Coturnix japonica: one gene and its partner. The protein of the gene in region 2 binds, or shares a complex with, the protein of the main gene of each other region. Links are inferred from orthologs where the notes say so. Each region holds a gene or a part of one and is shown on either strand. Other genes may lie near its edges. The genes, in order: NGF and NTRK1.

Region 1 (4,509 bases), on a different chromosome or scaffold from region 2:
ATACTTTCCCAAGCCAGAAGAGCCATTCACATTCCCTCTGCCTTCCCAGCCTCATTCACTGCTCTCAGGGCTCAGCTAGCTGCACTGACTCACAGAAATCAAGCTCCCTCAGGGTCCTAGTGCTGTAAACGTGTGGGAGCTGCACAGACTCGTAGGAATTCTGCTGCTGGCTTGGTGCCGAACCCGTGCAGTGATGGACAGATGTGCAGTGAAAGTTTGAAAGCATGCACTGGTTGTATGACTGTGCATGCATAATAGCAAGAAAAGCCTCTGACTTCCTGGTTCCACTGTCAAGAGCTGACACTCTCTTTAAGGGATTCTTTTCTTAGGTCTCCAGCATTTCTACTTTGCATCTTAATCCCTGCACTCCAATTAAACAAACTCCGAGCTCTGTAATTAATGGGTCTTTTTGAAATTAATCTCTGGAGCCCTTCACTCATGTCATCTGTCGACAAACAAACCTGAAGGAATGCTAATAGTTAACTGGGGAAGCAGTGCACTGAGTTGCCTGCAGAAATCCCCACTATTGGCCCTCTTTAACAGGGCTCAGCCAAACGCAGCTCAAGAGTAGCAAAGAAATATTTGATCCTGACTTGGGGCAGAGGAAAAGATTATGTAAAATCCCTTCCAGCCATAATATTCGGTGTTTAACATGCTTACCTTAAGCAGCAAAGAGATAGGGAAATGTTTTCCATTATTTTTTATGAAGGGGGATTAAGTACATGCAGCAAGGAAACAATGGTGCGTTTTAAGCACTGATAAACAACAGAAGGAACACAAAAGTGGAGAACTATAGAAGATAAAGAAAAGCCACAGGCAGTTGGCTGCCTACACTGGGAACTGCAAAGCGGCCACCTGGGATCTCACCATTCTCATTCCATCACCATTTAACTTTTGTGATTGCACAGAGGAGCAACAAAAATCATTACGTTATCCCCCCCGGAAAATAAGAGCGCTGCATTTTCTCAGTGTGGCAATAATAAACATCTTTCCATTCCACCCAGAAGAGGGCAGCCATCCTGAGACTCATCCCTATGATCTTTTGGTCAAGGGGAAAAAACACCAACATGTGGAAGATAACACATAAAGGTGTGGAGCAAGAGGGAAAAACCAGCTTGGAGATCATAGTGTTTCTTATTTGCCACATGTGTTGCTCTTTGAACATGTACCAAGCTGATCTTCATATCTTATTAAGCTTAGAAGACAACTCTTGTTCCTGTCTCATAGTGCCAAACAAAACAGCAGCTTCAGCGCTGGACTTTAAAGTGGTGTCTGTTTAAAAATGGCCTGAATCATCTTTAAGGAAGTTCTATATACAACATGATTAATGCAACTGCAAGAACTACCTCCCCGGTTTGCCAGAATTCCGCAGCTCAAATTGCTTTGTTTTTCTACAAGAAAAATGCTTTCCACACATTATCCACAGAGGCCAAAGCCTTTTTCAATTGCACAGACAGTCATCAGAGTGTGTGAAGTGCTGCCTGTAAAACCTGACCTCAGGAGTTGGCCTTAACTTCATATTTCACTGCAGAAATACCAAACAACCCCCGTGCTGAGGGAGCATTTGCCGCACCTATTTCCTAGAATATACACAGATGATGGCTTTGAGCTGCAGAGTTTGAAGGGCTGCGGCTGCAGCAAACAACATCAAAGCAGATAAGATGTTAATGCTCAGCATCTCTACAACAGATTTCTTGGAAAAGCTGCCTTTTTCTTAAGTGTGTGGCCACAAAAGCTCTCTGGAGCACTGTAATGATAGTATTTGTACTTAATCTGACACATTATTTCTGTCTAAACACTCCTCTTCCACCTTACTCTTCTACCTCCTGAGCTCACACCAGCGGCAGCAATCTATGGGATAAAGCACTGGCACATAGTCACTGCTTTTATGCTCCCACATACCCCAAGCAAACACCATTTTAGCTTCTGGAGTAGGTGCGGTGCTATGGGCACACACAGTGTGTTTAATTCCAGGTGGACTGCTATAGTCAGAGCTGAGTGGCTGAAAGCATCACACAGAGGTCAGATCTCCTCCTTCTAACAGTGCTTTGAAACACAGATTTTAAAGGTTCCACCACGTGGATGCTTGCTCTTAACCTTTGTGAGCTGAAGGTTCTCTTGCTTTGACAAGCTGCTACACGAAAGGTGAAGGAGAGTGATGTCAGGCTGCATAAGGGAAGGTGTGCTCTGGAATCAGAGGGGAAACTCTATATAGAGCTCTGTGAGCACAGAACCAGTGAATCCTGGTCCTCTGCAGGTTTACATCCACTTATTTCTCTGCCTCTGTGACAGTTCCAAGCTCCCTGTTGCATCCTGTATAAGCATCCTTAAATCATATTCCCCCTAAGATTACATTCAGTGCTTTCCTAAGAAGCACTGCCACACAGCACAGTAACATTCCAAAGAAACAAGAGCACTCACACCAAAACAAATATTGTCACTGCTGAGAGATGTGGCTACAGGTAAAGCACTTTGTGCTTTGCTGACCCCAGGGCTGAAGTAAGCATTGACCTAAGCCCTCAGCAGCAGCTGTGCATTGCCATAGCCTTGTCTTACAACATCACCGCTTCCTTCTACATTATCACCTTGGAAGACTCACAGGGTATGAAAATTGTGCCCTATGCCTACATGGTATGTTCAGTATTGTAAGCAGGCTTAAGGACTGTAGGGGCATTTCTGCTGGAGTTGGTGCCTTTGTGCTACTGAAAACACATCATGGAAGGTGTCTGAGAAGAAGCAATGAAGCTTTTTGTCTTGCTCAAAAAGGTTAAAAACAGCTGCTGACAATACCAAGCAAAACATTCAAAGTAGACCAATAGTCGTATACAAAAAGAAGAATTGAACTCACCCAGATGGCAGAAAGGCTCACTGGCAATGCAGCATTCCTCAGGAAGCAGCCAAGAATCAAGAGTAGCTCTCCTATCCATGGCTGCTCCTTATATACCCTTATATACCCACGATGGCTCTGCATTGAGTCCAGCCCATCTGGGCACATGGGAGAGCACAGGTGCAAACAGTTTGCTCCTTAGGCCAACAGCACCCCTTCACCAGGTGCTCCATCACCAGTTCAAGCCCCAACCTAAGGCTTCCCTTACAGTTTTCCTTTTAGAACCAATGCTCTTTGAAGAAAAAAAGCTGCCAAAAATAAAAGCAGTGCTGGATTATTTCTGAAATCTTTATGGCTGTGGAAGCAACACAGATGAGAGCAGCTGCTCTTCCTACAACCTTTATGGAGGAGTCAGAGCGCTGAGAGGAACTCACAAATTCAAGCTCTGAGAGATGTTGAGGGTTGGGATGAAGATAATGACACCTATTTCTTCCAACACACTTATTTACATCCTTGTAATATCAAGTGTCTATGTGAAAAAGATGTTTCCTAGGTGCTGGGAAGTGCTTGGATGTGAGAGTGCAAGAAGGGTTTTAAACATCTCAAGAGAAGCATTCAAAGTGGTAATGTTTGTTTTACTAAAGGAAAAGCCATCAGTTACACAAATGCCTGGAAAACACAGCTATCTTGTGTAAACTTGTCTGAGAGTTCTTGTCCTTGGGCTAAAGTGGATGTAAAGCAATAGGAAATATTTTCCTTTTTACCTACCTGGAGGGAACTCGTCCCTGTTGTGTTAATCAGGAGGTTAAGAGGAGTTGTCCTAAAGCAAGTTCTCTTCTTGTGTTAGTAGCAAAAAATAAGAATAATTTTAAAAGCTACAATAATCTAGTGGTTTATTTTGTCTTATTTTGTGTGTCCTTACAGTATTATGTGTATGGCTGAAGCTACTGGAAAAAAGCAGAAGAGTCATTGGTGGGTTATGGATAAATAGGTCAGACAAACAATTACTGAGTGCAGACTGAGGCTGTTTCGGCTGTATGGCTTCTCAACCGGATCGATAACACGCAGCATGCAGCACATTGGGGAATCGATTTGTACACAATACATTTCTAATACACTGCAATTCAAAGCAAGTGGTGATGAGAAACGTTGGTTTATGGTGGGTTGTGGATGCGATCTGAGCTAATCTTTTCTCTCTCTGTTAGCTGGGTATGTATCAGGCATCTCAGAGGCCTGAGCCTGCTGAAGCCAGGATGTCTTGATTGTCAAATGCAGTTACAGACATAGGATGTAACCCCATTGGAAGCAGCATACAGACCAAGCAGAGCTATGACATGAACATTACATTACTCTTCAGACTCAGCAGAGATTTTGCCTTATGGTTGTTTGAAAGAATGCAGCAATTACAAGCATTTCTGGATTGTGCAAAGCATGCACAGGTGTTGGAATACCTTCAGACTCAGCTATTTCAATGCCCAGCTATGGCTGACCATCTTCTCTGCATCTGACTTTAGTCCCTGTCAAAGTATCTACAGGGGGTGCAAAGGATGTAACGAGAAATCCTGTTATGAAATCGGGAACATAGGCTAAACATAAAACTTGGAATGAGTCGTGTTTGACTATTAAGGGTAGACGCCTCAGCTCAGCCTCTAAAACAGCTTAAAGAATGTGCTCTGTTGGAA
Region 2 (2,797 bases):
CTTCTTATCTCAGGTCACTGTGGGTAACAAAGGAGCTGCCAGGGCCCAGCCTGCCCTGCCTAATTAGCCAGATGAAATCAATTCTGCTCCATTACAGTCAAATCCAGGTCTCAAACATTACCAAGGCGGCCGGAGAGCCCTGGGAAGGATGATTAAGTGGACGCTACAGGGCATTTGATAACCCCATGGCTCCGGTGACGGTGTGTGGGGAAGGGAGGGCTTTGCCCTTTGTTTGGGGGGTTTGGCTTCTTCATCCCTTTGTGCTCAAAAGGTCCCCACCCTACACCTCAGGCACAGGGACCCATCCACTGTGCACAGCCCCAGGCCAGCCAGAGGGTCCCTGAAGTGTCCCTATGTCCCTCTCTGGGCTGGGGACAGCATCCCCCTCACCTACACCTTGGCTTTGCACATCCTCACTCTTTTCCTAACCCAAACCCACCACCAACCTATACCTCACCCAATGCCATAGAGTAGGGACAAGCCTTCCCCATACAACCACACCCCCTCTGTTCCTCTTCCCCTGCTCCAAAAAGCCCTTCTATCTCCCCAAAGCACCTCCCTCCCCCAGGCACCCAGCAGACACTCCATGGGGCAGCCAGCTGGCAGCGCAGCAGAGAAATGGACAATTTTATTACTGACCAGGATCACTGCAGATTGGGAGAGCACGCGGGGCATCCACCCAGCCAGGTGCTGGGATGGGAAGGGATGGAACAGCCATGACACTGAGCAGCCAAGTGCCACCCATGGGGCTGGGGGTCCTGGTTGTGTCTCTCCAGGGGCAAATCCACAGTGGGGGAAATGCCACAGCTACAGCCCCCTATGGAAGCAGCTCCAGCCCTACAGCCCCCCCCAGGGGTCTTGCTGTGACAGATGGTTTAAGCCCTCTCCAGCATCAGGGCATCAGTCCAGGGTTGGGGGGACAGAGGGAGCAGTGCTAGAGCACTCCAGCCAGCCTGGGGGTGATGGGGTTCCCTCTCAGCCCAGGATATCCAGGTAGATAGGAGGGGTCTTAACCAGGGCCTGCAGGCGGCTGTGGATGTCCTGGATGCGCTGACGCTGCTGTGGCTCCCGTTGCCAGCAGCTCTGCATGATATCATACACTTCAGAGGGACACGTGCGGGGCCGCTCCAGCTCCCGGCCCTGCGTGATGCACTCGATGGCCTATGGGAACAGGGGGATATGGAGCACACAGCAAGCACCCAGACCCCACAAAGCAAGGGGGTTCCTTGCTTCCCCCCATCCCACGTGTGGACATGGTGCCAAGCCCGGCTTCACACTCAGCCCCATGTGAGACCCCATGTTGAGCCCACCTCGGTGTTGGAGAGTTGGTACCAGGGCTGCTTCCCATAGGTGAAGATCTCCCACAGCACCACACCGAAGCTCCAGATGTCACTCTCAGTGGTGAACTTGCGGTACAAGATGCTCTCAGGGGGCATCCAGCGGATGGGCAGCATGGTGTGACCCCCAACCTGCAAAGCAGAACCATCAGTGTGTATCCCCCCCCGCAACCCCCCAACCCTTCCCCTCCCTGCTGAGTGCTCAGCAGCGCCATTAAATATGGATGGGGTTGGGGAAAGGGGCAGTAGATGAGATGGAAATTAGAGGTAGGGAGGGTGTGGAACTCACCCGGTAGTAGTCGGTGCTGTAGATATCACGGGACATACCAAAGTCCCCAATTTTAACCACCAGGTCGTGGCCCACCAGGCAGTTACGGGTGGCCAGGTCACGGTGCACGAAGTGCAGGGATGCCAGGTAGACCATACCTGAAGCGATCTGCGTTGCAATCTGCAGCATGTGGCTCAGTGTCAGCTGCCCGCAGGGCTGCCCCTGCCCTTGGTCCAGGATCTTTGCATCTGGTCCATGGGATCTAGCAGGGCAGAGGGTGATCAGTGTGTGCATGTATGCAGGGGAAAGGTGTGCAGGTGTGTGCATTTGTGCCTGGAAGTGCTGTGTGTGTGTTTGCACATGTGCTGGGAAATGCTGTGCTTGCGTGCAGGGAAAGTACATGCATGTATGTATGCAGCCATGCAAGGTGTGTGCATGCATGGTGGGGAAGGGAGTGCATGTGTGTGTGCATGCCTGCAGGAAGGCATATGTGTGTATGCACACGTGTGTAAGCCCAGGACAGAGAGGGCTGTGTGTAAGTGTGCAACCATGCCAAGGAAAGCTGTGCATGTGTGTGCATGCATGCTAAAGAACATACAGATCAACCTGCGTATGCATGCATGCAGGAGAAGCCAGGCATATGAGTGCACACATGCATGCATACGGTGCTAGTGCACACACGAGAGCACCCACAGCAAGGAATCCCATGCATGCACACATCAGGAATGCTGTTCACACATCGGCAGCACTGAGCTGTGCATCATTGGGTGCCAGGAGGTGTGAAAGCAGCAGGCGTGCATAGAGCAAGGGTGAGAGCAGGCCGGGGGCTGCACATTGCTTTGATGCCCAGTGCTGCTGACAGCCGGGCTGGGGAGGCTGGACCGGGAGCAGGGGGCTCTGCTCGGCAGAACCATTAATGCCAAGTCCCATAACAATAATCATAAAAGCCACGTCTCAGAGCTCATCGCGTGGCCACTAAAGCGATGCCTCTGGCAGCCCCCCCGTCTATCAGCAATACCTGGGGGGCCAATCGAAAAGTCTCTGCTTATTCCAGCTGATGGCCAATCTCTCTCTATTTAAGCCTCTCAGACAGCTAATCTAATCAATATTGCAAGGAGGGCTGCATTAGCAGCGAGCGCAGAGCGGCTGTCTGAGCCGCGTTGATGGAGAGGGGAGGGGGCGAGGGGCCGGA

What was found.
Region 1: the proteins of NTRK1 (region 2) and NGF are in contact, whole or in part, in a crystal structure (PDB 1WWW), measured with the Homo sapiens proteins. The link is inferred for Coturnix japonica from reciprocal best matches to the Homo sapiens genes NTRK1 and NGF. Residues at the interface, in NP_002520.2 of Homo sapiens: His291, Val294, Glu295, Met296, His297, Cys300, Pro302, Phe303, Ser304, Leu333, Glu334, His343, Gly344, Cys345, Arg347, Thr352, His353, Met379, Asp380, Pro382; in NP_001424474.1 of Homo sapiens: His125, Pro126, Ile127, Phe128, Arg130, Gly131, Glu132, Phe133, Ser134, Ser138, Ser140, Trp142, Tyr173, Phe175, Arg180.

The regions. Positions count from the first base shown.
Region 1 is NC_029541.1:3,993,332-3,997,840, forward strand, and holds the start of NGF (beta-nerve growth factor), read right to left. Parts: upstream 2,915-4,509; 5' UTR 2,849-2,914; intron 298-2,848; exon of another isoform or gene 1-297. UniProt on the Homo sapiens protein: Nerve growth factor is important for the development and maintenance of the sympathetic and sensory nervous systems.
Region 2 is NC_029540.1:690,620-693,416, reverse strand, and holds the end of NTRK1 (high affinity nerve growth factor receptor), read right to left. Parts: intron 1,868-2,797; coding exon 1,627-1,867; intron 1,470-1,626; coding exon 1,311-1,469; intron 1,162-1,310; coding exon 976-1,161; 3' UTR 615-975; downstream 1-614. UniProt on the Homo sapiens protein: Receptor tyrosine kinase involved in the development and the maturation of the central and peripheral nervous systems through regulation of proliferation, differentiation and survival of sympathetic and nervous neurons.